Linked DNA regions of Saccharomyces cerevisiae S288C. The gene in region 2 interacts genetically with the main gene of each other region. Each region holds a gene or a part of one and is shown on either strand. Other genes may lie near its edges. The genes, in order: RSF2, HSP32, FBP26 and AMN1.

Region 1 (10,591 bases), on a different chromosome or scaffold from region 2:
CAAAAATAAACGAGAAGGAAGGTGAGTTTTAGTTCATTGACTAAAAATGAGCAAAAAAAGTCAGGAGTTTTTGTTTTGAAGGGCACTTCAACTCTCGAACTATGGATTTACAGTTTCTTCCTCGTCTTTTTAAGTAAAGTATTTTCAAATGACCAAAATGTAAATAAATTTGAAAAGGGCCCTTCTTTACGAAAAAAAGATCAAAAAAATGTTCACAAACTATTTCACGAAATCAAGACAAACATATAAAGGAGAAATACAGTGGAGATTAGATAGTAATGTTCGTAATACCTGTTACAAAGTACTTTCTATTGTTATAAAACATTTACATATTGTGTAAACCAATAATATCACTCAAAAGGAAAGTAAATCGATTTCTTTGGATGATGTATGGTTATTATTGGTATTCTGTTCTTGTTGAACAGCTCCACCATGCATTTCACCAAATTCGTCATCATCATCTTGATCTGTACTTAGTGCAGTTGTGCTATTAGATACAGGATTAGAGGCAGCGGCTTTCGCTTGGGATGCTTTAGGAGCACTAGGTGCTTCTGCAGATGCCTTTGCAGTTGAAAAGAGAGAGCTAAAAGGATCTACTTTTTTAGGTTCCGCAATAGCTGGGGTAATCTTGCCTTGGTCGGTAGTGGAGCTGTTATAAAAAGGCATTGAACTCGTGGTGGCGGGCATACCCTCAATTGGGCTCGTGTTTAGCAAGTTAAACGAATTAGCAGGGTTGGTAACAGGGACGGCGCTTTGAAATTCTGAAAACTCGTCATCATCGTCCTCTTCTTCGTCCGCCTTCTTTTCATCTTCTTGTATGAGTTCTTTAGATGGTTTTGAAGACTCACTAGAAAAAAAGTCAACAAAGTCCTCTGGTTCTTGTTTTCCTTGCCCAGGAGTAGATGTGGCTCTCGAGGCATTATCGTTATATCCATTTTGACTAAAAGAACCATCTTCGTTATCTTCATTGTCACTATCGAAATCAGCACTCACGCTAATGCCGTGCACTTTCGTTGACGTGAAACCTGCCTTCGAATTCAAACTGCCATCAGCAGAGGCAGATCCTCCAGCAACGCCCTTGTACTTCTTTGCCGTTTCTCTTGCCTTTTTTCTTTCTGCGCGTATCTTATTATCGTCGCTCAATAATTCAATCAAAGCTTTGACCCTAGTTCTGACATTAATTCCTTGATCTCTTCCCTGGGAATCAATATAGTGAAAAGTTTCTAAAATCCTAATTAAGTTAATGCTATTCCTTGTATCATCGATAAACCTTTCAGAACCGTGTTTGATAAGGTAATCGAGCAATTGCAAGGCTTTATAAATTTGCCTCCACTCACTACCTGCCTTTTCAGTGAACCTTCTGAATATCATGGACAAAATTTCTTCTCTTTCCCTGAAATTGTAAGTTCCTTGAGAAATCTGGTCCATTAAAGTGGATGAGGCACCCCAAGGCTCGTTGTTTGTCGCTTCACGAACTTTCCCCTCCATCTCAGTATAATTGAAAACAACATTTTGAGCTTTACGAAAATATTTCTTGGCGTCATATAATGACATGTTGGCTAATGTATCCTCTAAACTCATTCTTCCTAACACTAATTAACGATGTGATCTCCTATCGACGTCCCTACACCTTCCTGAATTGGTAATTTTTGCTTTCCTCAAATAACTGTATCTACAAATCATTTCATGATTCTTCTAGTCCCCTTTTACTTTTCCTAATCACCTCGCACAACGTACGGTGTGACATGTATAAGAAATTGAAGCCATGTTTATAGAGTATATACAAAAAAGCCTCTCATGGTTATTATTCAAAGTCACTCTACGTATGCAAATAAAATAAATGTATATACTGAGGTGAGGTACTTAAATGCTTATTGAAGTAAATAGCGAACGTTGCTGAATTGGCTTAGCAAAATGGTTAACCACTGAATGACCTCGTTTCTATCAATATCAGCCAATCCTTCGTGAAGGCCGGGCAAAACTTCCCCGACAGATCCCTCAAACTTACTAGGTGCTAAAAGAGAGTACTTCATCCATTCCCTGTCTTTCAGTCCTCTGTGTGTAATAAATAATTGATCAATTTGCTTTGATTTGCTATTGGATCGTTGCAGTTTAATATAGCTCTTGATTTTTTTGTAAAAAGCCCAAACAGGTAAAGCTTCCCTACACTCTTTATAGAGAATACCATTTTGTTGGTCAAATTGGATGCTATCTTCCTGTGTGGCAACTTTTAATAAGTCCAGAACCCTTTTTGCTAAGCTGTTCACTTCATCGTCCTGGGGAAATGCTGAAGATAGATTAGAGTGCCATGCGATATACCAGTTATATATTTTCTTCAGGTAAACATGTGTATTGAATCTTGCCAGTTCGTTTTCACTCAGCATCAGCGTTGTCAAACCTACAAACATGGCCATGGTGTTGTGTAACTTGTAGTCAGAATTGGTAAATTTTTCCAACCAAGTTGGGCTATCGAATACGGAGTTACTATGATAGACTGCGCCTGAAGTATCATTGGCATTAAACTGAAAATGTGCAGCGGGCACTCCAAGATGGTACTGAAATGAAGTGTAACTAGACAACCCATCAAGTAGAGAAATAGTGGCATTAGAAGTGTATTTCCAATGGTCGAACAATGACCAGTCTTCGTGCCCATTAAATTCCGTGAGCTTAGCAGCTTCGTATATCACGTCTTGTAAAAGTGGGTTGGCTTTACAGTGAAAATTTGTCCCAGAGATTGCATTATCTAGATTTAGGTATACCAAGGCCCTTCTCCTGAGAATCGCAGCATGAGCTTCTGCATAATCTGTAGATCCCAGAAGGCCGGATCGTTCACCATCCCAACTTATTAGTTTGATAGGACGCAGTGGCTTCCAACCATGCTTAAGTAATTTACTCATTCCTCGTGCAATTTCTAAAAGAATAGCGCTGCCACTATTTGCATCACCGGCGCTACTCGAGGCGAGCGAATCCCTATGAGCTCCGATAATAATCTCCCCCTCAGTGAATATACCAGGGATACTAACCTCTACACTACTCATTTCCTTGATGTTGTAAGTTAGCTCATTATGCAAATGGACTTTATCGATAGAGCTTGAAGGTCCAGTGAATGATCCAAAATCTTTTATATTACTACCGGGCCCAATTTGAAAACCCCTGCCATTCAATCTTTCTAAAATTGGTTGGACATCTCTAGCACTCATCGGCACCGATGGTATCCTCGGCACTCTCCCTACCGGTGACATATGTTCAGTGTCGGAATCCTTGGAGGGATACCCTGGAGTTGTCGGATCTCCTGGAGTGTCACTGAAATAGTTTACAGAATCTCTCCTAATATAACTTGGGTTTCTTGCTGGTCCATAAGGATAGTGTAAAAACCCATTTTCCTCAGTAACTTTACCATCGTCAAATGGGTCTGTATATATAATGACACTGGAAGCGCCATAAAGTTCTGCATTCTTTACCTTTAATCCAGGTAATATTTTACCCGATCGTACGATGTGGATTTTATCTTCAATATCAATGTTTTTCTTCAAAAGTAGCTTGTAATCACTGATGCTACCATAATTGCAAAACACGTATCGAGCAGTTACACTTCCATTTTTTGAATATTGATGGAAACCCTTTTGCCTTTTCCTAGCGTGAGAAGCAGGATCACCTTTAACTCTATCCTCGATCATGCTTGCTTCGTAGACCACTTTACCATTTTCTAAAGGAGCTACGTTAGTGTCTACTGGTTCACCTATCCATGGGTAATATTTTTCAACTTTGGGTTTGTACCCCATATCTAGAAACTCGTCCAAGGTATATTTAAACGTTGACGAATCACTTGCTCCGTTGCTCATGTACCCAGCATACTTGTATACATGTTCTTTCGCTCTATTTTCCTGTTGCAAGGAGTTCAAGTATATCCTATAAACCTCTGCATTCGTCAATCTGGAAGAGTGAAACCGCCGAAAGTCTCTTGATAAAGACGTCCTGGGAGCAAATGCGGCAACAAATCCCATGTACAAAAGGAGACTCGCTAGAATCAAGTACATAAACTTTTCCTTGTCCATATGTTCTTTCATTATTTCATAACCACTAACAATACTAGATATTGTATTACTTCTGCCTCTATTCCTGGATGTTAAAGTGAAAGAATCATTCATGCTTTCTTCATTGTCATCGCGAGTGGTCTCGCCACTATATTGTTGTAATCCAGTGGCTTCGGCCTCATTGTCATCAGGGTCTGCCATATTAACAACAGTTCTCTCCTTTAATTGACCTTCCTCTTTCTCTCTCTTTCTCTCTCTCTGTATCATTCTCATATATCTCTTACATTCTTAATTGTGCATGTTGAAATTGTTTTAATAAGTACGGCCCCTTGCCTTGTCAAACCTTTTTACCCGGGCCATCAAACTCAAGCAAACTCCGAATGGAACAATGCCTTTTTGAAGCCTGGTGGTATATTATGAAAGTTATGATAGTTCTAAGCTTTAATTCTGTAAATACTATAGTATAGAGACGGCCGCCATTATATATTTGTAAATCGGACTTATATTCTAGTGTTTCTTTTTTTCGTAACACTATAGATAGCTCTTGATTGCAAACCATGAGCGAACGATAATATTATAGGCCAAATTGGCGCATCACCCAATATTTGAACACCCAAATATAAACATTTGGAGGATAGACTTGCCGCTACAATTAGTTGAATTGTCTCATTTATATCGGTATTCGGGTCCATGGCCCTTTGTGCTTGTTCTTCATTTAGTGCTGACAAATCTAGGGCATCCTTGTCCTGCCATCTTAAGAAATCAGTGTACGATTTCAACACATCACACTCCTTCGGTATCAAGTTCATTTGTAATCTTCTCAAAATCCTTTCTGCTTTTAGCCATAAGACACGGTCCGAAAAATCCAATAATGCTGAGTTAGGGTTGTTGGCATTGTACCCGCGTGCCCAATCCTCTACACATTTCATGTATTCCGAAATCACTAATACTGCAGTGAACATACATGTGGTCGCAAATACAGGAGTATTGAAAATTCTGCGCTTGCCCTGTTTAATGTACGTAAAAAATGAAGTCCACGCATCCACCATATTCAGTGCATACTCGGTAGCTTCCCTCAATGAACCCATGTCATAGCAAACTTCCTCCAAAGCTTTATTCATATTGGACCAATCTTTCAACCAGATTTTCTCAATAACATGTGCCAGGTCCAAACACCGTCTCATTTTGGCAAACAAATATACCGGAATTATTAACCTCATTGCTGGATTGGCGTTTATTGTTGACATGCTATTCTCGGTAGGTGTCAAGATGCCACCATTTTTCAAATAAAGGTTTTCCCAGTATTTTAACATTGTATCGATCCGTTGTCTGGAAGTCATCTTCCACTCAATATCGTCCAACTCAATGTTATTGCTATTGGTGTTGTTATTACTGATCCTTGCGTTATTTCTTTCAATAAGTATTTTCTCATGGATAGATATCAACAATGATAGACATGTACTTAACGAAACCCTAGCATTTCCGTAAAAAAAACTATCGCCTGTAGAAAGAAACCTCAAACAATTTTCATATGCCTCGTTACCATTAGACAATTCAATCAACGAAAATTTCGAATCTAACGTTATTTTGTATTGACATAATAGGTCCGACCATTCATCGGAATTTCGGCACTGATATAATTCTTCTTTATAGCATGGAACACCACATTTTAAATCGACTGAATGAAAACAGCAATCAGCACCTACCAGTGAAGAAAATAAGTTAGATATAAGTAATACCGCATGGCAAGTCCTGATACGTGACTGCGCCAATACAAAATATTGGTAGTTTTTGTTCATTTGATTCGGCGCGTTGTATTGCTCTCTTATTTTTGAAAACATATGAGGACTGTTTTCATATTCCATAATATGATCACTCTCAATAGGCGGCTGGCATAGGGACTCTAGGGGCAAATTTAAACGAGAGGCCTTCAAGAGACGAATAATAGTCGTCAACTGACCATGCATCCCCTTGATCACGGCTGTATTTTTATTGAAAATACAGTAGAACGTTAGCAATACTAATGTCTGTATAACCCATAACTCTGTCGTCTCCGGGTTTTTCTCACTAACTTTCAAGCTTTTCCTAATTTGGGTGCTAGCTGCATTAGCTAACACTTTTGCATGCGTCGAATGAAACCCATACAATGCTCCGACCATGGAGATAGATAATAACAAGGGATAACTGTCCATATTAGGTATGATAGAAGGAAGATGAATAAATGAAAAAAATGGATGGAATTCTTCCTTATAGTAAGTCACATAATCGTTCAATTGACTAGTTGTGGGGAAGGCTCCTGAATCGATATTATTGTCGGCTAGCATCATACTCCTTAGCTCATTGGTAAAAAGCACTTGAGATACTGAAGGGACAGAAAACGGAGATAACAAATCCGAAGGAGTAAGAACAGGCAGCTGTTTCTGTGTTGCATTAGAATCAGTTTCGCCGGGGAAAGACAAAGTGAGAACATCGTCGTTCACATGAGAATTATTTTGCTCTGTCCCGTTTAATACCTTGGAAATATCCAATTGCCTTGAGCTGAAAAAATTGGATAGATCGTAGTCCATCATGACGCTATCACGACGCCTCTTATGAGAACTATGGGAAATAGGGTCAGAATAGGAAGGCTCCTTTAGTTGGTTTTGTGGTGTACTTGGTAAATCTGTGCTTCCATTCAAACTCAAGTTTAAGCGAGGTGATAAAGAAGCTTTTTCATGATTTAATGAGGTAGCAGAATGGTTTGGAGGTGACTTGTTTGGTATAGATGACCTTGATGAAGGTGGAGAATAAATAAACCCAATGTCATTGAAATGATTGAAGTTGATCTTGAAGGTAGATTTTGGATCAGAGTTGTTAATAAACTCTGATAACCACTTGTCATCTATGGCAGCAGGATCGATATTACTATCCTTATCATTGGGCTCCATTGATGGTTCCAGTAAATTATTTGTGCCTGGATTGAAATTGATCGTGGAAGAGGAATCTGAAACAGTTGTTGGTGGGTTTTTAGGAGATAGTGACATAAGCGGCTGCTCATTGCTCATTTGCCTATAAGTTTGATTTGCCAAATTACTGTAACTATTAGAAGCCGTAGTAGAATTAGACGGTATAGTATTCGGGAAGCTTGACGGAAGGTTAAATTCAGAAACTGTCGGTTTATCATGACTGAAGCAGCCCAAATCAAATGGCGAATGGTGGCTAGACATGTATCCTCCCGCACCTGCATGTGCAGAGTTCATTGTCAAAAGATCGGTTAAAGATGGACCGCTACTTAAGAGATACACTCCAGGTGTAGCAACTGTACTTCCATTGTTGCTGTTCACTATGGTACTAGAGGTGGAATTTTGCTGTTGTTGTTGTTGTTGTTGTTGCTGTCCGGAGGGGTCATTGTTAAATAGATTTAAGTTAAACTTGATAGCTTGCGGTGGTTCGTCCAGGGTTAACGGAGGTAAATCCAATTCTGACACGCTTTCCATGAGCTGCTTCGCGGTCATTTGTGGAGTAGAAAAGCCGACTTGATGCGGAGCGTCTTCAACGAGCTCGAAATTGGTAATTGAATGGTGGGGGCTATTGCTACTAGACATGTAAGTCATTGCACTGGATGCAGAGAAAGACGCATGTCTTTTCGTCTTATGCATGGAAGAGGGAGTGTTCGCCCTGTCGATAACAGCATCGCTTGATGCAGAGTGAACTGGCACGCCTTTCGTGCTGAACTTGAACTCTCGAAATCCTAGGGAGCCTGCCTTACTAGGAGGAGTTTTCTCTCGCTTATCGTTCATTACTGGGGCCGAGACGGGAAGTTCTACATTATTTGATTTGGCCAAGGCAACCACGGCCTCTTTCAATTCTTCAGATGTCTTACCAGCAAGGTTCTTCGGGGTGGGTAGAATAGTCTCTTTATTTCCGGCTATTTTAATGATATGAAGGTCGGTTGGATCATCCGCCGCCACGGAATGGCGCCGCTTGGAGGCAAAAGAAGAAGTCGAATTTGGTGCTGGCGTCATTCGCCGTGGATCCCCCGTACCTACAAGAGCAGCATGAAGTTTTTGCTGATGCCTGAGCACTAAATCTCTACGAGCAAAACACCTACCGCAAAAGATACAAAGATACGGTTTCTCACGGGTATGCGAATGCTGATGTCTCTTCAAATGCTCCTGCCTGACAAAACCCCTAGTGCATGTGGGACACAAGAACGGTCTTGGCTTATCAGTCTTAATAATTCGAGATTTTTTAGGAATGGGCAGAATACCTTGACCAGCGGGCTTAGCGAAATTAGATTGATTACCGTTCACAAACATACTTGGCTCCGGCACTAATAAAAAATCTTTATCTGCCCTATCTATTCTAGTATCGCCAATGTCTTTTAGCTTCTTCGCCCTAAAGTTTCTTTTTGGTGCAAGAGTCTTCGAGAAAAACGTGTGTTGAGAGAGGCAATGTTTAACGAAGAAAAAAAACTCTATGGAAATCCAAGAAGTCCTTGTTTCTTTGTTTTCGTTTCTAATATATGCAGGGTCAAGCGGGAAAAAGAAAGACAGACGGAAAAGTGCCCAGCAACACGGAACAAAATTGTCCAGATTTATTCGAGCGGCCGCGGTTAGTATGCATAATGCAGGCGCCCCTCGTCCAAATGCGAACGGTTCCATCCGAAACAGGCCATTTCCCAAAAATTATTTCTCTTAATAGAAGTTGCTCGCGTAGTTACCTATTGTCGATGCCGCATACGCAGTTACCTTATCCGTTGCCCTACGGAGAATTTCCGCGATGCAGCACCGTGCGGCGAGATCACAATTTTCCTTGTACACTCTACTCTGCCCCTGGAGTGGTTCACCCCCGTCTGTGCGTATTTTCGTGTATGATGATATAAGGTCGTTACTACCGTTGATTCAAAAACAGTTGCTTCTTCCATATATTGTAGCACGAACAACTATGGCCGGCCGCAAATTGCGACAATTACACCTAACGCAGCATTAAGGTCGCAGGAAATGTTATCTGCCGAGCTGTTTATCTCTGTTTTCCAAGATTTTTTCAACCAGCCCATGAGTCTGCTGTTGGCGGCAACCCAGTTACAGATAATGGTGCATGTGATAAGCTTCGTACCACTATTCGTAGTTTGTTACATCTTGTAAGCCAGTATATATATTTGTTAGATTGTGCCCTAACGTTCCAGTAATTGAAGGGTAACCGAGGTTTCCGTGGAAAAAAACCGTGTATAAGCAAGAGGTTCCGAGCGAAAAAAAAAAGTATAAAAGAAAGCACAGGCAATGAGATTTGTTTTTCGCTTTTCCTTCTTATTTGTTAATTCTATTTTTGAAGTTTCCTTCCGAAAAAAAGTAACTTTGTCCTAAAGTACTAATCCACCGCATTAGACAGTACGAAGATCGAGCTATTTATTTGAACACTCGGTCTTATTCGTGATAAGCGTAATGTGGAGAGATCAATTTCCGGGTCATTTATAAGAACTCGAGTGGATTGCTAGTTGTTTTGATTAGCTGAATGAGACTCGAGTGTCAGAAGATGACTATATTTTTTTTCTTTTTTTTTTTAGTTATGTTTTATTTTTGAACTTGTACTTGCACATGTATCTTATTGTTTCGTGATCTTGTAGATCCGTATGGGTGCAATCAAAGGTTTGAATTGCAGGGCTTTCATCGCGCGGATCTCGTTGTTTGCGTCGTACTCTGTGCTGGTGACTATGGTACATTTTAGCCCGAGTTTATTGCACTCTTGAGAAAACAGTTGGACAGTGGATTCGCTTCTAATTGTCGCGGATAGGAGACACAGTTTGCATCGGTCTAAAGCAAGACATTCGGCCAGACACTCGCATAGATCAGGAAGGATAGTTGGGTCATACGTAACATCTGCCCCCACTACTAAATCTATATCCTCAGGAACTCTATCGCTGCCCCACCATAATCTTTGCAACTTGATGTCTGGTTCGTTCTCACGCACTTCATTGTTCAATTCAAAATTTCTTTTCAGCTGCGTCTCAACGAGATTCGAATCACCATCCGTGACGTACATCTTATTTACGAACTCGTGATACTTTTGTAAAATGACGAGACTCACTATGCCTGTGCCAGCGCCGACCTCAAGAACATTTAATTTTTTCTTGCCATCGTCTTGTCCTTGTACCGGTGCCAACTCTTGTAAGGGCTTATGAATAAGGAAATCACCCATGTATAAGGCAGCTTCCCATGTCCTGAAACCTGTAGTACTGGCCGCACTGATCAAATTCGGTGTTTCCTCAATTTTGATCTTTACGTCCTCGTCAAACCTGTACCTCACGACGTCTTTCATCATCGGGTCTGGCTTGCCTGTGCTTAATAGTTTTATGTACTTCTCATAGAGATAATCATATATCTCTATCTCGTCTTCGCCATCGTTGACAATTGTGAATGCCTTCGCGAAAATCCATTCGTGGTCTAAGAGCATCTTGACTATGGTTTTGCAATAATATGCATTCGTCTTTTGCACAAGTTCCATCTCACAAACAAATCTCGATGCATGCAGGACATCGTTAGATTTGCTTGTTTCCAACTCTTCTAGCAAGTATTTTC
Region 2 (7,217 bases):
TGATACACATCTATGAATTACTAAGAGATTTGAGACACAGCGACAGTCATGCCAGCAAGATTTAAGATTTTCTTTATTTAGTGTTTATATACATATCAGATATCTGTTGAGTATTTTCTATTTTACCAAAAAAAAAAGATATGAAATCAAGATAAAACGTCGTATGAAAGACAAGGGAGCTCAGCAGCAATATCATAAAGTAAAGCAACAGCGCTTGGTTCATGTACAATGAACGATCTGAAAATTATTTGGCAGCGGTGCTACGAATACATGTCGATATTACGTTACGATTGTCTAACAGGGGAGGAGAATCGTGCACTTTGATGGGTATATCGAAAAGATGGTGACTCTGCTAGAGTCACTGTCAGTGAGGAGTTGCGATGTATGAAAGATTCACTGACATAAAGTGGCGCGATTCATGTAGCAGTGTAAATCACTTTTGACGCAATGATGGAAGAGATACGGAAGAGATACGGAAAAAATAAAACAAAAAACAACTGAAATAAGTACTAAAGGATTATATTTATTGCCGCCATTATTATTTAGCGTCTGGTGGCTCAAGAATCTGCAGTTATTTAATTATTTAATCGAGCGTGTAATGCTCTGATGATTTTCAATCCGGTCATATCAAATCACAAGTTGAGCCATTATATTCATGTTTTTTGTACATTCACCACGTTCTGCATATTAGGTACTGAAACACGTCAGGCTATAACGGCGCTTTCCACCTACACTCCGGCCTTCGTTACTGCTCCGACCGTTCTCTGGTCTAATTGTTCATCCTGCATGCTAATGGGGATTATGCAATCTTTAAATGCTTACACTTGGATGAAAGATCACCAAGTCTTGTTTTTAGGTGTAACTACTGGGTACTGTGGTGCCCTGTCTTCCTTTTCTAGTATGCTGCTAGAGATGTTCGAACACTCTACAAACTTAACTAACGGTAATATCGCTAACCACACAAAACTGCCGAACAGAGCTTACGGTATAATGGAGTTTTTATCTGTCTTGCTCGTTCATCTTATGGTTTCCATGGGTAGTCTTATTTTCGGTAGGCAACTTGGTAAGGAGGTTATTGTTGCTTATGGATCTAGTTCGTTTTCGAAGCCATATACCCCTCCCTCAGACACTGTAAAGGAAAATGCTGGTGATGTTGATACACAAGAAATGGAAAAAAATATTCTAGAGTTTAAATTCAAAACTCCAGCACCATTTTTTAAGAAATTTTTTGATGTTGTGGATAAACTCGCGTACGCACTAGCTTTTCCATTAATTATTTTGTTTGTGGTGCTGTGTGCGTATTATGAGAACTATTCGAGGGGCAAGTGGACACTACCATGTCTATTTGGAATTTTCGCTGGTTTCCTAAGATATTGGTTGGCAGAAATGTTTAATAAAACAAACAAAAAGTTTCCATTGGGTACTTTCTTGGCAAACGTTTTCGCCACTTTATTGATTGGCATATTTACCATGGTGCAACGTGGTAAAAAACACTTTTCCACGGATATTCCAATTGTGAACTCGTTGAATTCATGCCATATTGTTTCTGCGTTAATATCCGGATTTTGCGGCACTTTGAGTACCATTAGCACGTTTATCAATGAAGGGTATAAGCTATCATTTATTAACATGCTTATTTATTATACTGTTTCGATTGGAATTTCATATTGCTTATTGGTGATAACTCTCGGATCCTATGCTTGGACTAGAGGATTGACTAACCCGATTTGTTAGGATCTTTTCTTCATACCTTTTCCTGCACAATCATCCCACCTTTTTTTTTTTTTAATTCATTTTCAAGATTTTAGACGTTGTATAATACATTTTTACCGACTACTGCGGTTTATTGTAATATTTTGTGAGATTTTATGAATGCGTTCCATCATCTATTTACTACAAAACGATAAATTTCCCCGTTTTCTTTTACTTTTACTTCATTTAATATAATTCATATTTATTTCCTATGTACCAATTAATTACTTCTAAAAAGAACAGAAATAGAAAAAAGTTGTATATAACAAGCCAAAAAAAAGAAAAAAAAAGGAAAAAAAAGAAAACACAGCTTATTTCAAATTGCAATCTGCGTATTTCGTAAGTAACGAATGATCTCACAGCATTGCTTTTTTTTTTTTTATATATATATGTACATTACCTATGTCACATATGACCATGATGAGTACAACACTAAAAACCAAGGCCTACTATTCAATTGTTCTCTATATGATTTCCATTCTAGCAAAATCGAGTGCTACCGACCTGCCGTTTTCTTTACCTTTCGAACCATTGAGCTGTTAGCCTTCTCTTCACAGAAACTGAAAGCCATTAGAAGCCTCCCCTTCAACAATTCCCTTGTCTTTTGTTTCAGCTATATAATGCGTTTATAGCTCTAATTGTGGTCGAATAGGAAGAATTTGCGTTAACACCCGTAACTAGCTTTCCATCTGTAATAGAGTAGTCATCCCAGGGATGGATTGGCGCCAAGTACTTGGCTCCATTCTTGTTTGCAACGCGTTCAACCGTTGTCAATTTTCTGCTCCTCAAGATGTCGTCAACTCCCAGGGCGATTTCACCCTCGAGTGGGAAACCTGTTATAGCTTTGCCTTCGATTAATGGTCTTGTTGTTTTGATATCTATTAATCCATCGAAAAGGAGCGGTCCATGACAGATGGCAGCGATCACACCCCCATTGGCATATATCTTGGATGCAATATCTTGCAGATTTTTAGCTTTGGGATAGTCAAATAGAGCACCATGTCCAGCAGATGCAAAGAATATTTTATAGTCGCTGGCGTTGACTTCATTTGCGGTCTTGATCCTCGCTAACGCCTTATTGAAGGCGGAATTTTTCGTTTCAAAGTTCATCTTATCTTCGCCACCAATAAAGCTCTTTGGCAAGTAATGTTCATCCCAGCCAAATCCACCAGTCTCAGAAACGAAGTCCACTTCGAAACCATGCTTTTCGAAAGTATCGAACGACCGCAAAATCTCAACTACAAAAACGCCTGTTTTCGCACCATCTTTATAGAAGGGACCGTGGTATGAAGTAAGAGATATTAGCGCTCTTTTTGGAGTCATTGCAAGGCCAGTTTTCTTTTTGAATGAAGGAGAAAAGTGTTCTAGAAATATGTTTTAGTTCTAAGTATCGTTGTCTGGAGCAAGCAAAGAAAAGCAGACCTGTATGTGCAACTTTCCTCTTTTCCATTAAAATCTCAAGAACCGGCCCCTTGACTGTGCTCATATATCAAGTATCGGTTTTAAAGTCCCCTAATTGTGATAATTGCAAGAACAACAGTCAAAAAGATATTTTTCTTTTCTTTCTTTTTACCTATCCTTCATGAAAATACCTATGCTGATACTGAATATCTTCATTTGCAGCTATGCAATATTTCAGATACCCCATTTTACCCAAGAGTTTCTTACTGGTGGTTGGATTTTCTTTAAGACGAGAAGATTACCAGTCCTGGATGTTCGTGAATGTGCCTATTGCGTCATCAGCGACTCCGCGCCAAGAAAAGAAATACTCGCATGCTCGGATTTATAGAATCGCATAATGGAAATACCTTCCTTAAAGGATGGAGATAAGGAAAAAATGACAAGAACAAGGAAGTACTTGGGAGCTTTCTCCGACATGGTAAATATTTGAAACTCACGCAGCTCTCCTGGAAAGTTGGATCTGGAAAGGTAAGGTTGTTTTTTTTACAGACATCAACCAAAATCGGTTCTTGTAGTAGACAATGTCACAGATCGCCACAAGTTGAAAAAAAAGTTTCGATGAACTGGATAAGGGGAGAGGTCACAAACAAAGTGTAGGGGGTGAGTAGTATAGTGGTAACTTGTTCATTTACCTAAATAACATTCTCACTAGAAAAGAGATATTGAAAGACTCCTCGTTTACCTAACTTGGCTGGTTCTTAGGTATATAATAGAAACATGGATCTGGCAGGTTATCACTTACAGTTTGCACTCCCACCAGGTTACAATTTTCATTATATATAGTTATTTTTTACCACCACTTCTTCTTCTTTCACTTTGTCTTGCAATAGAAATACCAAAACAAGGTGAGGAAAAAATCGAATCTCAACGATAAAAATATGTCCATCACGAAGGTACATGCTAGAACGGTGTATGATTCTCGCGGCAATCCGACTGTTGAGGTTGAAATTACAACAGAGAATGGTCTCTTCAGAGCGATCGTCCCATCTGGTGCCTCCACCGGCATTCACGAAGCTGTTGAACTTAGAGACGGGAACAAGTCCGAATGGATGGGAAAAGGGGTGACCAAGGCAGTCAGTAACGTCAATAGTATCATAGGGCCTGCTTTAATCAAGTCCGAATTATGTGTAACCAATCAGAAGGGCATAGACGAGCTCATGATATCGTTAGACGGAACTTCTAACAAGTCAAGGTTGGGCGCCAATGCTATCCTTGGTGTTTCCTTGTGCGTTGCTCGAGCTGCTGCCGCACAAAAGGGAATTACTCTCTACAAGTATATAGCCGAGTTAGCGGATGCTAGACAGGACCCCTTTGTTATTCCTGTTCCTTTTTTCAATGTTTTGAATGGTGGAGCCCACGCCGGTGGCTCTTTAGCTATGCAAGAATTCAAGATCGCGCCAGTCGGGGCTCAGAGCTTTGCAGAAGCCATGAGGATGGGTTCGGAAGTTTACCATCATTTGAAGATATTGGCGAAGGAGCAATATGGACCTTCCGCTGGAAATGTTGGTGACGAGGGTGGAGTTGCCCCCGATATTGACACTGCCGAAGACGCCTTGGACATGATTGTGGAAGCCATTAACATATGCGGTTACGAGGGTAGAGTGAAAGTAGGAATCGATAGTGCTCCTTCTGTTTTTTATAAGGACGGGAAATACGACCTAAATTTCAAGGAACCGAACTCTGACCCATCTCACTGGCTCAGTCCAGCCCAGTTAGCAGAATATTACCATTCATTGCTAAAGAAATACCCAATCATTTCCCTGGAAGATCCCTACGCCGAAGATGATTGGTCCTCGTGGTCTGCCTTCCTAAAGACTGTCAATGTTCAGATTATTGCAGATGACCTGACATGCACCAACAAGACCAGGATCGCCCGTGCTATAGAGGAGAAATGTGCGAATACTCTGTTGCTGAAACTCAACCAGATCGGTACTCTGACTGAGTCTATTGAAGCCGCCAATCAGGCTTTCGATGCTGGATGGGGTGTAATGATATCGCATAGATCAGGTGAAACCGAAGATCCGTTTATCGCTGATTTGGTCGTTGGTTTAAGATGTGGTCAAATTAAATCGGGCGCTTTGTCGAGATCAGAAAGACTGGCCAAGTATAATGAACTTTTGCGTATCGAAGAGGAACTGGGGGACGATTGTATATATGCTGGTCATAGGTTTCATGATGGAAACAAACTATAAAGGATTGTCTTGTTTCCTTTTTTTTTTTTTTTTTTTTTGTTTTTTTATGACTAAATAAAGTAAATCATATGAGGTTTTATTTTTTATTTCGTTGATTTGGGTTACAGTATGGAAATGGGGCATTTGACACAAGTTATTTTATTCATATGTTTTATCTTGTAGGAAATCAAACCGTTTTTAAAGTTTTCCATTGCCTACACACAAAATCATTACGAATCTGTCTGAACAAGGGTGGACGTGTGGGGGAAGGCTGTTCCAATCAAGAAATGCTTACAACTCTACTAACACTGCAGTTTTTCAGCTTTCTGATTAATCTCTTCGGTTTAAATTTTTTAGCAGCTATTACTTTCTAGTAACCCTTATAACGCGGTTGGTATCAAATCTTCCTGATAGTACAAGCAGACCTTTGACCCCATTCTTGTTGTGTCTTGAAATCTTTTTTTCTGACAAAAGTAAGAAGTTACACCATAATAGAGAAGTTAAATAATGAAAGTGTATCGATCATAGAAATGATTTTATTTTTTTCAACTACTGTTACGGTCAAGAAACTAATACTGAGGATAAGTTTTCGCAACAATGATTTTGGTACAAGTGATTTAAAGTCTTGAATTACTTCAACACAATTTGCTTTGCGACGGTTTAGAATAACGTAATCGTATCAACGAATCCACTAGGCGCGCGTAAAAATTACAGACTCTAACAATATACGACTCCCAGCACATACCTACTATTCTGTACAATTCCGGGAAATAGGAGGGTACAGTATTATTTTTTCTCGGCGATCGTTTAGGGTATACTGGAGATAGGCTTAGCAATACGCTTCTGAACGAGGATCTATAGCAACTAAATTCAGACATTCTGCTATACCAAAAAAGGAAGTATCACAGGCACGGAAAAGGGTTTTATAAGGCACCTCGGCACCCCTATAACTGGCATTCTCACATTCGGCGCATACGAATAGACAAAGGCCCCAGAAAACAATACCTTCGCATACAGAATCTATAAAGATGCATGCCTCGTTTAAAAACAAAAACATCTTCATAGTGATCATGAAGTTGTGGGAAAGATGAGATATGGAGAATATGTGAAGTGCTAAAGGAGCATCTGTTAACGAATCGTTTAAGTGGTGATGACCAATGAAGGAATAGGTATAAATAGAGATACTTCAACTATATGCCTTCGAGAATATGTCTTTATTCATTTCTTTCCTGTTAAGCTTATATCAGCACTAACAAACAAAACAAATACAATGGTCAAATTAACTTCAATCGCTGCTGGTGTTGCCGCTATCGCTGCCGGTGTTGCCGCTGCTCCAGCCACTACCACTCTATCTCCATCTGACGAAAGAGTCAACTTGGTCGAATTGGGTGTTTACGTCTCCGATATCAGAGCTCATTTGGCTCAATACTACTTGTTTCAAGCAGCTCATCCAACAGAGACCTACCCAGTTGAGATTGCTGAAGCTGTTTTCAACTATGGTGACTTCACCACCATGTTGACTGGTATTCCAGCTGAACAAGTCACCAGAGTCATCACTGGTGTCCCATGGTACTCTACCAGATTGAGACCGGCTATCTCCAGTGCTCTATCTAAGGACGGTATCTACACTGCTATTCCAAAATAGAGAGAAGCTTTTACGAACGAAATTCCATAGACATTAAAAAGTAAAGAAAATGAAATAAAATATGTTATTCTATTGATATAAATACAATTTCTCATATGTAAATGTATATTAATATGACAACTCATTTTTGATCAATAACAGTGTTTGTGGAGTATTTTCTCAATACAATAAACCCAAAATAGAAACTT
Region 3 (3,716 bases), on a different chromosome or scaffold from region 2:
ACAAACTCCAAGTTCAGCGCCTGCTTTCAATCTGTGAGCCCTTAATAATATCAAGAAGCGGACCGCCCGCAAATGTTGCATCCTCGGATACAAATGTAGACGAAGTGTTTTTTAATCGACATGATGAAGAAGAATCCTGGATACTGGACCCAATACAGGAAAAGTTGGCACATTTGATTCATTGGATAATGAACACTACTTCTCGGAAACAAACAATGAAAAACAAAATTCAATTTAGCTTAGAAGCCCAATTGGAAATATTACTTCTTATTAAATCTTCGTTCATTAAAGGTGGCATCAATGTTAAATACACTTTTCCAGCAATAATCACAAATTTTTGGAAACTGATGAGGAAATGCCGTATGATACAAGAGTACCTTTTGAAAAAAAGACCCGATAACAAGACGTTACTTTCCCATTATTCCAATCTTTTAAAGCAAATGTTTAAATTTGTTTCTCGTTGTATCAATGATATCTTTAATTCTTGCAACAACTCATGCACAGATCTGATTCTGAAACTGAATTTACAATGTGCCATTCTAGCTGATCAATTGCAATTAAACGAAATTTCATATGATTTTTTCTCACAGGCCTTCACAATATTTGAAGAGTCTCTAAGTGATTCAAAGACTCAGTTACAGGCTTTAATATATATTGCTCAGTCTTTACAAAAGACAAGATCACTCTACAAAGAAGCTTATTATGATTCTTTGATTGTCAGATGCACACTCCATGGATCCAAATTATTAAAGAAACAAGACCAATGTCGTGCTGTTTATTTATGCTCCCACCTCTGGTGGGCAACGGAAATTTCAAATATTGGTGAGGAAGAAGGTATCACAGACAACTTCTACAGAGATGGTAAACGGGTGTTAGAATGTCTACAAAGGTCTCTCCGTGTGGCGGATTCTATAATGGATAACGAACAGAGTTGTGAGCTAATGGTCGAAATATTAAATAGATGCCTCTACTATTTTATTCACGGGGATGAGTCCGAAACTCATATATCGATAAAATACATCAATGGTCTGATCGAACTAATCAAAACAAACTTAAAATCGCTAAAACTAGAAGATAACAGTGCCTCTATGATTACCAACTCAATCAGTGATTTGCACATCACCGGAGAAAATAATGTGAAGGCAAGCAGTAATGCTGACGATGGCTCTGTAATCACAGATAAGGAATCAAATGTTGCCATAGGATCGGATGGTACGTATATTCAATTAAATACTCTGAACGGATCTTCCACGCTAATACGCGGAGTCGTAGCAACTGCTTCAGGTAGTAAATTACTGCACCAACTGAAGTATATCCCAATCCACCATTTTCGACGCACTTGTGAGTACATTGAAAGTCAAAGAGAAGTTGACGATCGTTTCAAAGTCATATATGTATAGTTAAATAACGTACTTGCTCTTCGTACATGCCCAAGATAAAAAAAAACTACACAAATAAAGCTAATAAAAATTTACCTAAAGAAGGATCATAGATTAAGTGGAAGGAAACTTGTACATAATTCGAGTTTATTTTCAACTAAGATATCAAGGATTGTTTACTATAAAAACACTTAATTGGGTAATTTCTATTTTTTACTTTTTTTCTGTGTTAAAAAAATGGGTCGCGCCAATGCGCTCACAAATCTATTCTTATCCCTAACTTACATCTACATGTAAAGCGCCACTAAGAGAGCTATAGCTTATCATACATTTACATCAGGTAAAGTATCATTTTGGCCAGTGGATACGAATTTAATATATAATCTTTGCTTTCCCTTCGCTCTTAAATTCACCAAGCAAGTTTGTTAAGAAATAAAGGAAAGGGGGCTCAAAAACCGAATCAAGTAAGACAAGAAACATGGGGTACAGTACTATTTCCAACGATAATGATATCAAAGTATGTGTGATAATGGTTGGCCTACCAGCTAGAGGAAAGTCTTTTATTTCCCAAAAAATTATCAGGTACTTATCGTGGTTATCCATAAAAGCCAAGTGTTTTAATGTGGGAAATTACAGAAGAGACGTGAGTGGAAATGTCCCAATGGATGCTGAGTTTTTTAACTTCGAAAATACAGATAATTTTAAACTCAGAGAATTGGCTGCCCAAAATGCCATAAAAGATATTGTTAATTTTTTTACTAAAGAAGACGGATCTGTGGCAGTTTTCGATGCTACTAATAGTACACGTAAAAGAAGGAAATGGCTTAAAGATATATGTGAAAAGAATAATATTCAACCGATGTTTTTAGAGAGCTGGAGTAACGATCATGAACTGATTATAAATAACGCTAAGGATATCGGTAGCACATCTCCTGATTATGAAAACTCTGAACCTCATGTGGCGGAAGCTGATTTTTTGGAAAGAATTAGACAATATGAAAGATTTTATGAACCTTTGGACCCCCAAAAAGATAAGGATATGACGTTCATTAAGTTGGTCAATATTATTGAAGAAGTAGTAATTAATAAGATCAGAACATATTTGGAAAGTAGGATTGTATTTTATGTTATGAATATTCGTCCTAAACCAAAATATATCTGGCTCTCCCGTCACGGCGAATCGATCTATAACGTAGAGAAAAAAATTGGCGGGGATTCATCACTGTCTGAAAGAGGCTTTCAGTACGCTAAAAAATTGGAGCAGTTAGTGAAAGAGAGCGCAGGAGAAATAAATTTGACCGTGTGGACTTCCACCTTAAAAAGAACACAACAAACGGCAAATTATCTTCCCTATAAGAAACTGCAATGGAAAGCACTTGATGAATTAGACGCTGGCGTTTGTGACGGAATGACGTATGAGGAAATTGAAAAAGAATATCCTGAAGATTTTAAAGCACGTGATAATGACAAATACGAGTACAGATATCGTGGTGGAGAATCATACAGAGATGTAGTGATTCGTTTAGAGCCCGTCATTATGGAATTGGAGCGCCAAGAAAATGTTCTCATTATAACTCATCAAGCCGTACTTCGGTGTATATATGCATATTTTATGAACGTTCCACAGGAGGAATCCCCTTGGATGTCAATCCCACTACACACATTGATCAAGCTGGAGCCTAGGGCCTATGGCACAAAGGTCACCAAAATTAAAGCAAACATCCCTGCAGTGAGTACATATAAAGAGAAGGGTACAAGCCAAGTAGGTGAGCTTTCTCAAAGCTCAACTAAACTTCATCAACTGCTCAATGACTCTCCTTTGGAAGACAAATTTTAAATTTTACTTTTTATTTTTGTGTATCTTAAGTCCAAGCTTACTTGTGGCTGATACGCACAATCTTTTATGTACGAAAAGATCAGGAAACGTAGCATTGATGGTTTTTTATGTACGTCTGCAGCATTGTATGTAATTATTACCCAAACTAATTTTAAGTGAAATTGTAGAACGCCGCGGCGGAAGTATTTTTGAGTAAAAAAAAAAAAGTAAGATTCGAAAATGAAATTATACAGTACAGAAAACGTAAATATACAATAAAGGTTGAATAAACATACTAGATATCCTCCTTTCTTTTTGCATGTACATAGTACTGGTGTAAACTCGATATACCGATGGTCAGATTTTTTGGTTTAAACAAGAAAAAGAACGAAGAAAAGGAAAATACAGACTTGCCTGCAGACAATGAACAAAACGCAGCAGAAACGTCGTCTAGCAACGTATCTGGAAATGAAGAAAGAATAGACCCAAACAGTCATGATACGAACCCTGAAAATGCAAAC
Region 4 (7,979 bases), on a different chromosome or scaffold from region 2:
AGAAAGTGTTGGTGTTCATGGAAACAAAGGCAGGTGGTTTGATTAAAGCTGGTAAGAAACTGACATTTCACGATATCTTGAAGAAAGAGTCGCCAGATGTACCATTGTTCGATAACGCTTTGAAAATATATATTGTGCCAAAGGTAGAAAGTGAAGGGTGGATTTCCAAGTGGGATAAGCAAAAAGCCTTAGAAAGAAGATCTGTGTGAAGTGTCAAATAGTTAAAAATATGTAACGCAAAGTTGTAGATAGAAATAACAAAGCAAGAAGGAAAAGTAAAGAAAGTGAACGATATACGTAATGCAGGGGGAATACCAGAGTATTTAAAGTGTACTTGATTTAATGTTAACCAGTTTGAATTTTTCTTTTCTGGGGTAATCGAATTCAAGACCTTTTGGGCACAATTTGACGCGGTTTCAACCTGTTTAGCCTAGGATTTGGGAAAATTTCATCGGTGTGCAAAGGCGGAATTGGTCCAAAGATAGTTTGTGGATTTATATCTTGCTGTCTTATCAATTGCTCTTGCAAATACGGGGATTTAGCCCATGCCGCTAAAGTTACGCTAGCCTCATCTTCAGAATCAGTATTTATCTCTGGTAAAGAATCATTGACAGAGGCTATCTTTGGGGTCACATTTCCGATTATTTCTCGATGGTCAACTGTATTTATTGTGGCCAATATATTGTCGGTACTAAATGCAGTATTTTTGTTGATGGTATCTCGCACATGATTATCGAAAGGAGCCAAAGATTCTTTTAGACGTATGTCCTTGTAGTCATTACTAAAGCTTGTTTGCTTTTTTAGATCTTGTTCCAAATGCGACATCCTTTTTTGTTTCTCTTGTTTACGCCGATGATGTTCCTGTTGAGACCTCATAATTCCTGATAACCTTTTATCAAACTTTTTTTTTAAGTCATCTCGTTCTGCCTCTGCTGGTGGAAGTAATTGAAGGTTTGTAAGCCGATAATTTTTGGATTTACGAGACTCTGGCTTGGAGATGTCAGCAATATTCGGAGAAAGTTTTCTTAATGTTTTCTCTTTAATTTTCAAACGATGTGGCGTTTGCGACGTTGTTAAATTTTTATTTTTATTAGGCGAAATAGACGCTTTTGTTGGTCTCAAATAACCTCTTACAGGGCTTTGGTAATAATTTTTAACTTCTTTAGATGGCGAGCTTGAATCGACACTTATTTTTGTTGGAGAAATACTGTGCGGTCTTGAACCAGTTTTATGAACATCACTAGAGTGTTTGGACTTCTTTTTCTGTTCTGCAATGATTGCTAGCTTTTTGTGTGTCGTTAGCTTCAAAGAAGTCTTATCAAACCTCGGAATAGAGGATTTTCGAGAGTTTTTTCCTTTGGGTGAATTATTTTTGGTTATTTTATTTTTTACTGAGAATATATCTCTTAACGCTTCTTGCATATCAGTATCCGTGGAGTTTATTGACTTAAACTTTTGAGAAACTTTTTTCATGGGGGAGCCTGTTAAATCGATTGATGAAGAGGAGTATTTGTGACCAACGTTTCCACGGGAAATTTTGTTTTCAAATGATTTTGTTGGAATAGATGATAGCCTATCGAAAACACTGGATGCTTTTGTAGATCCCGCGGTATCACTGTTTTCCACAGCTCTTATAGCAGGACTATTTATCGTAGATTTTTTTTTAAATGCGATTGGTGATTCCTTTACTGTTCGTACTTTTGGTATTGATCCTGAAGATTTTGTTGGTGGAATGTGTTGAATAATAAGAGGATCTTTATTCGGCAGTGGAACAAACATATTCGACCTTCTTTGAGATCTCGCTATCCCAGAATTCGGTGGTGGTTTCACCTTTACTGATTCAGCTTTCTTTAAAGCTTGAAGTATAGGTTCATTCTCCATTTCTTCCTTAGCCGCCCATGTTTGATTATCGAAGCGTTTTGTATTAATCGGAGACTCCGAAGTCTTGGAGGATTCTCTTAGAACCTTTTCAACTTTGTAAGGTGACCATGGTGAGGATTTTTCGCTTTCATTGGCGTCGACTTTAACGCTATTCAATGGCTCAACCGGGCTTTTATTGGTATCATGTATACTAAATCTATTCATTCCTTCGGTGACTTCCTTCCTGCGGAGTGATTTAGGCGTGATACTTTTATCGTTATGTAATCCATTTCTGGGTGTCTTAGTAACGTCTTTTGCGGCATCATTCTGGGAGTTAGAAAGTTCATATTCTCCTTTCATTTTAGGAAATTCGACATCCATTTTGTTATGCGTATTTTCGGGGCTAATTAAAGACTCTTCCATCTTTTTGTCTTCATACTTGAGTGTATTCATATAAACATTATTTCTTAACCATTCACTACTTTCGTACAATCGTTGATTTATTTCTGAATGTGCATCTGTTGTTAGATTATTTAGATCATCGAGGGTTTCTATGATTGAACGGGTAGAGCCTGGCTTCCTTTGAGTTTTCTTCCTAGCTGCTTTGATTGCCCAGTCCATTGTTTAAATCTTCGGGCTCTTTCAAAGTCCGTCAGTTGAGGAGATACTTTGAAACGTTTTGTTTGTATCATTGGCAATACTTGAAACGAGTTTTTGTTTGTTTTCTTTTTTTAGTTAATTCGCGAAATTTAAAATATGAAGATCGGTTTCAGAACAGAATGGATCAGGCTTTTCCGCGTATAAGAAATAATAACACTGACATAACGCTATAACGAAACAGCGTAACAAAATACTCTTTACATGGTTTATTTTTATATATTCATTTAACATTATCAAAACTAACATTAAGTCCTTTATTTATCAAAACAAACGAAAAAAAAAAATGCGAGACAAATGATCCAGTCATTTATTGTCAATATCTAAGTCAATTAGTGGTTGCAATATGTCTCCAGTTTCCACTTTATGAGCAAAAATTTTGCCCTCAATATTTATCTGATTTTTTTCAGCGAATTCTTTCAAACTCCCGAATCTACCGCTTGCGTTTCTTCTTAATTGTTCATTGGTATTCATGATTGTGTTTTTCGGGGACATTTGGTGGGTATATGAAGTATCCGGTGAAGAATGATATTCTTTGTCCAAGAAAGAACTTGCCAATGAAGTTTTTCTTGAATTGACGCCTATGCTTGAATTAGAATCGTACCCGTCAATGAAATTTGGCTTACAAGACCTGCTGAATGAGATTGCATGACTTTTTCTGTGGTAACTTTTCCTTCGCCCTGAAGGCTTTGTAAGTTCGTGTGATAATGAACGTGAATGCGAATGTGATGATAATTCATTACTTTCTACCCTTAAAGGTGATACCGCATTAGGCTTTCTTGGACATATGGAGGAATTTCTCCTCGTTTTCACACCATCCTTGTCTCCAGGGAAAGAGTAGGTCTTCAGCTTGTTGAACAGAGCTTCGCCTTGAGACTCTTCAAAATAAAAGCTCTTTTCGTACTCATGGGGTTGTTTGCTGCTATCGAACTGAGATTCTGTTGAAGAGAGAGAGCTGAAACGTCCATAGAGTGGGCTGCCAAGTGATTTAATGGATGTACTAGATTGACTGCCCGTAGTAGGAAAACTAAATGTGCTTATTCTTTCTCTTTCTTTTTGCTCAAATTTGCCCATATCTTGCTGGAAAGGGAAACTTCAGTGAAGTAATAACGAAGGTGGTGTAGAGTATAAATTTTTATTAAGTATGCGCTTTGACGTTCACATATTTGTAAAAGATTTATTTGAGAAGATAGAATGGGTCTCATTTATTTATACTTAAATGCTTCTTTGGATGTCAAGCTTTCTTGATGCCGGACTTGCAGTCGAAGGGCTCTTTCCCAACAGATATGTAACCAAATGCGTCGAATAGAAAAAGAAAGTCTTCCAAGGAAAGTTTATTACGAGGGGTTTTGTGCATTAACGTGGCATATAATTAGGTATAAACTCAAGGTTGGCTTAAGATTAGCGAAACAAAAGTATAAACGACCCAAAATTGGAGTGGATGTGTTCTTTAACACATAAACTGTCGTACAAAAAAAAAAGAAACAAAGAGCAGTTGAAAGAACATCAAGATCATAAGGACCCCCATATCGTGATAATCATTGATGACCAAATCGTGAACTCCCTGCGCCTATGCCGTGCCATAGCAAATAAAGTACTGGGCTGGATTGTTAATGACTTGCATATTAACGACAGGTAAACGGTACCCTATTTTTCTTTTTTACGTGCTACGGACGAAAAGTGAGGGTGATTAACGCTTCAAATAAGAAACGACGGCTAGCAGGGTCTAGATGCGTGAGATGAGATAAGGAAAAGAGCTCTGTGTCCCAGGTAATAATCCCTGGAGAGATATAATCTTCCCTACAACTTGATTGCATATTAACGCTCCCAAGTTGTGGCCATTGAAGAGCTCTACAGCAATGTCCCGACGAACGGAAATAACCCTCTTTTTCATGATATTTTCGGAGTTATCTCCACTGTCAACAACTATTCTCGAATATAACAGAATGAAAGGGATCACGTACGCTTGTTATATTGCTGTCGTTCTCCGTTCGCAATCCCATTATATGCGAGGGGCAAAAGAAGAGACGGCCGGTAACTCATTTTTTGGTGTGTGAGAATTGCGGAAGCTTCGTTCTCCCACCTTTTTTCGCTGTGTTTTTCTTGTCCTCAGCACCGGCTGGTCAAGCCGGTGCTGAACGGCCGGAGAGAAATATAAACGGATGAAAACGTGTTAATAATTGCATCAGTAGTAGGTGGCGGGGTTGTCTCATTTTTGTTATGGCGTAAGGTGAAAAATTGTAAAGGATTGGTTCGGTTGGGTTGGCGACAATTAATTATGGGATAAAAAATTGCTTAATCTTTATTGGAGCAATTACCTGCATAGGCACTCATAGGCCACAAGGGTTTGATGGCGGAAGGATGTTATACCTACGATACTACCATACATGTGATATGTCACTTTCTAGTCCGAAGCGTGGAACATATTATCTTGTTTGACGTTGTGGGTGTTAACCGTAATTGTCTGGGTACGCCGAAGGCACGGAGACCATGTTAAAATATGTTTCTCTTTTTTGCTCATTTTTTTCTATTTTTTGCTGCGCATTGCCCGAAGCTTTTCTTAGTGGTAGTCTGCTCTCGCGCTCTTTGTTACACTCGCAAAATTTTTTTGCTGGGCAAAATAAAGCACTCTCCGGCCATTACTGGCTGTCGTCCGCCAGGATTTTCATTAACTTGCAGAAGTAAACAAACAAAACACAATTATGACACCGTGGAAGTTTCCTAAATGGTAACAAAAAGCTTAATTGAAAGAAAGAATTTCCTTCAACTTCGGTTTCCTGGTTCCGCTATTTCTCGCTTGTTTCTTCTATTGGACTTAGGATGTCTCATCAATCATCTTATTCCTGCTGGTGTTTTTTGTATCGCCTTGCCTTGGAGTGTTTATGCTTGTCCTTTGTTCAGTAACCATTCTTCAAGTTTGTTTCAAGTAGTAGGATACCTTCAGATATACGAAAGAAAGGGAGTATAGTTGTGGATATATATATATATAGCAACCCTTCTTTATAAGGGTCCTATAGACTATACTCTTCACACTTTAAAGTACGGAATTAAGGCCCAAGGGAACTAACAAAAACGTTCAAAAAGTTTTAAAACTATATGTGTTAACTGTACAAAAATAACTTATTTATCATATCATTTTTTTCTCTGTTTATTTCTTCTAGAACTTATACCTGTCTTTTCCTTTTATTCTTTGAATTTGGTTTAATATCCCTTTTTGGTTTAATATCCATCCATTCCTTTCACTTAGAACTAATAATTCCCTTCGTTTGATAATTTATCATTTTCCTTTTCTGTTAGTAAAGTACCCATTAAATGAAACTAGAACGCGTAAGCAGCAATGGCTCCTTCAAAAGAGGTAGAGATATCCAGTCACTTGAATCTCCGTGTACTAGACCGCTGAAAAAAATGTCACCTAGTCCATCTTTCACATCTCTTAAAATGGAGAAGCCTTTCAAAGATATTGTAAGGAAGTATGGAGGTCATCTTCATCAAAGTAGTTACAATCCCGGCTCAAGCAAAGTGGAGTTAGTAAGACCAGATTTGTCTTTAAAAACAGATCAAAGTTTTCTTCAAAGTAGTGTGCAAACTACGCCTAATAAGAAAAGCTGCAATGAGTATCTTTCAACTCCAGAGGCCACACCATTAAAAAATACGGCTACAGAAAATGCATGGGCAACCTCTCGAGTTGTTTCTGCATCCAGTCTTTCTATAGTGACACCAACGGAAATTAAAAACATTCTTGTTGATGAATTCTCTGAATTGAAGTTAGGGCAACCTTTGACTGCTCAACATCAGCGAAGTCATGCGGTCTTTGAAATTCCTGAGATTGTGGAAAATATCATAAAAATGATAGTTTCTCTAGAATCTGCAAATATACCAAAGGAAAGACCATGCTTAAGAAGAAATCCACAATCTTATGAGCACTCTCTGCTTATGTACAAAGACGAAGAGAGAGCAAAAAAAGCATGGTCAGCAGCCCAGCAGCTACGAGACCCACCATTAGTCGGACACAAGGAGAAGAAGCAAGGGGCCTTATTTAGTTGTATGATGGTTAACAGGTTATGGCTTAACGTAACAAGGCCTTTTCTTTTCAAAAGCTTGCACTTTAAGAGCGTCCATAATTTTAAGGAGTTTTTACGAACTTCCCAGGAGACGACACAAGTAATGAGACCGTCTCATTTTATATTGCACAAATTACATCAAGTAACACAACCAGATATAGAAAGGCTTTCCAGAATGGAGTGTCAAAATTTGAAATGGTTAGAATTTTACGTTTGCCCTAGAATAACTCCCCCATTAAGCTGGTTTGATAACCTCCATAAACTTGAAAAGCTTATTATTCCAGGCAATAAAAACATAGATGATAACTTTTTACTCAGACTATCACAGAGCATACCAAATTTAAAGCACTTAGTTTTAAGAGCATGTGATAATGTCAGTGATTCAGGTGTTGTTTGCATTGCTTTGAATTGCCCGAAATTAAAAACATTTAACATTGGCAGACATAGGCGTGGAAATTTAATTACGAGTGTCTCACTGGTCGCGCTAGGCAAATACACACAGGTGGAAACTGTGGGGTTTGCCGGTTGTGATGTTGATGATGCCGGTATTTGGGAATTTGCTCGATTAAATGGCAAAAATGTTGAAAGATTGTCTTTAAATTCCTGTCGTCTTTTGACTGATTACTCTCTACCCATTCTTTTTGCTTTAAACTCATTTCCAAATCTGGCTGTTTTAGAGATCAGAAATTTAGATAAAATAACTGATGTGAGGCATTTCGTGAAGTACAACTTGTGGAAAAAATCATTGGATGCCCCCATTCTAATCGAAGCATGTGAACGTATTACGAAACTAATCGATCAAGAAGAAAATAGAGTTAAGAGGATTAACTCCTTGGTTGCCTTAAAAGATATGACAGCTTGGGTTAATGCAGACGACGAAATAGAGAATAATGTGGACTAGATGGTTTTTGTGACTTTACCTATAAATAGTACACAACAGACCACCAGTAATTCTACACACTTCTTAACTGATAATATTATTATAATTGTAACTTTTTAGCAGCACTAAATTTAATGAATACATAGATTTTTAACTAGCATTTTACTATTCTGTACTTTTTACTTGAAATTCCAGAAGGGCCGAAGAAACCAGAATTCCTTCACAGAAAACTATTGAACTACAGAATTCTCCAAAAGATACACTCATAGTGTTAAGACGAATCAATGTCTCGGATTTGGAAGTCCTTTATAGAGATAATTGTAGGGGCCTTTTGTAATGTTTCGGATGTTCTGTTTTAAGTCCGCGGGAGGCCTTTTTATTTTTCGCTTTTTTAGAGATTTCACGAATAAAAGCGTTGCAGAAATGCAACTTCAAAAGAGACTGAAGGAAACACAGATAGAAGAACAGTCTTCAAAGCAATCAATTCGTGTCGGTGCAGCTTAAGAAATGACTTTTATGCA

The links.
Region 1: mutations in HSP32 (region 2) and RSF2 together harm fitness more than expected from each alone (negative genetic interaction), as found in Saccharomyces cerevisiae (one large-scale study listed by BioGRID).
Region 3: mutations in HSP32 (region 2) and FBP26 together harm fitness more than expected from each alone (negative genetic interaction), as found in Saccharomyces cerevisiae (one large-scale study listed by BioGRID).
Region 4: mutations in HSP32 (region 2) and AMN1 together harm fitness more than expected from each alone (negative genetic interaction), as found in Saccharomyces cerevisiae (one large-scale study listed by BioGRID).

Annotation. Positions count from the first base shown.
Region 1 is NC_001142.9:654,383-664,973, forward strand, and holds RSF2 (Rsf2p), read right to left. Parts: upstream 8,678-10,591; coding exon 4,535-8,677; downstream 1-4,534. Other genes in the region: ENT3 (Ent3p), read right to left, coding at 355-1,581; VPS70 (putative zinc metalloprotease), read right to left, coding at 1,872-4,307; YJR128W (uncharacterized protein), read left to right, coding at 8,539-8,898; EFM3 (protein-lysine N-methyltransferase), read right to left, coding at 9,618-10,591. UniProt on the Saccharomyces cerevisiae protein: Transcription factor that regulates expression of both nuclear and mitochondrial genes, and more specifically those required for glycerol-based growth and respiration.
Region 2 is NC_001148.4:7,745-14,961, reverse strand, and holds HSP32 (glutathione-independent methylglyoxalase family protein), read right to left. Parts: upstream 3,076-7,217; coding exon 2,362-3,075; downstream 1-2,361. Other genes in the region: FEX2 (fluoride transporter), read left to right, coding at 607-1,734; phosphopyruvate hydratase ERR2, read left to right, coding at 4,092-5,405; seripauperin PAU22, read left to right, coding at 6,535-7,029. UniProt on the Saccharomyces cerevisiae protein: Catalyzes the conversion of methylglyoxal (MG) to D-lactate in a single glutathione (GSH)-independent step. May play a role in detoxifying endogenously produced glyoxals. Involved in protection against reactive oxygen species (ROS).
Region 3 is NC_001142.9:128,785-132,500, reverse strand, and holds FBP26 (fructose-2,6-bisphosphatase), read left to right. Parts: upstream 1-1,857; coding exon 1,858-3,216; downstream 3,217-3,716. Other genes in the region: retromer subunit VPS35, read left to right, coding at 1-1,400; SSY5 (Ssy5p), read left to right, coding at 3,549-3,716. UniProt on the Saccharomyces cerevisiae protein: Monofunctional, high-specificity fructose-2,6-bisphosphatase, which releases phosphate from the 2-position of fructose 2,6-bisphosphate. Has no detectable 6-phosphofructo-2-kinase activity.
Region 4 is NC_001134.8:550,720-558,698, forward strand, and holds AMN1 (Amn1p), read left to right. Parts: upstream 1-5,829; coding exon 5,830-7,479; downstream 7,480-7,979. Other genes in the region: HSP70/90 family co-chaperone CNS1, read left to right, coding at 1-209; SLI15 (Sli15p), read right to left, coding at 385-2,481; ICS2 (Ics2p), read right to left, coding at 2,824-3,591; IFA38 (ketoreductase), read left to right, coding at 7,966-7,979. UniProt on the Saccharomyces cerevisiae protein: Negative regulator of the mitotic exit network (MEN), required for multiple cell cycle checkpoints. Acts in the daughter cell to inhibit the mitotic exit pathway once MEN has executed its function.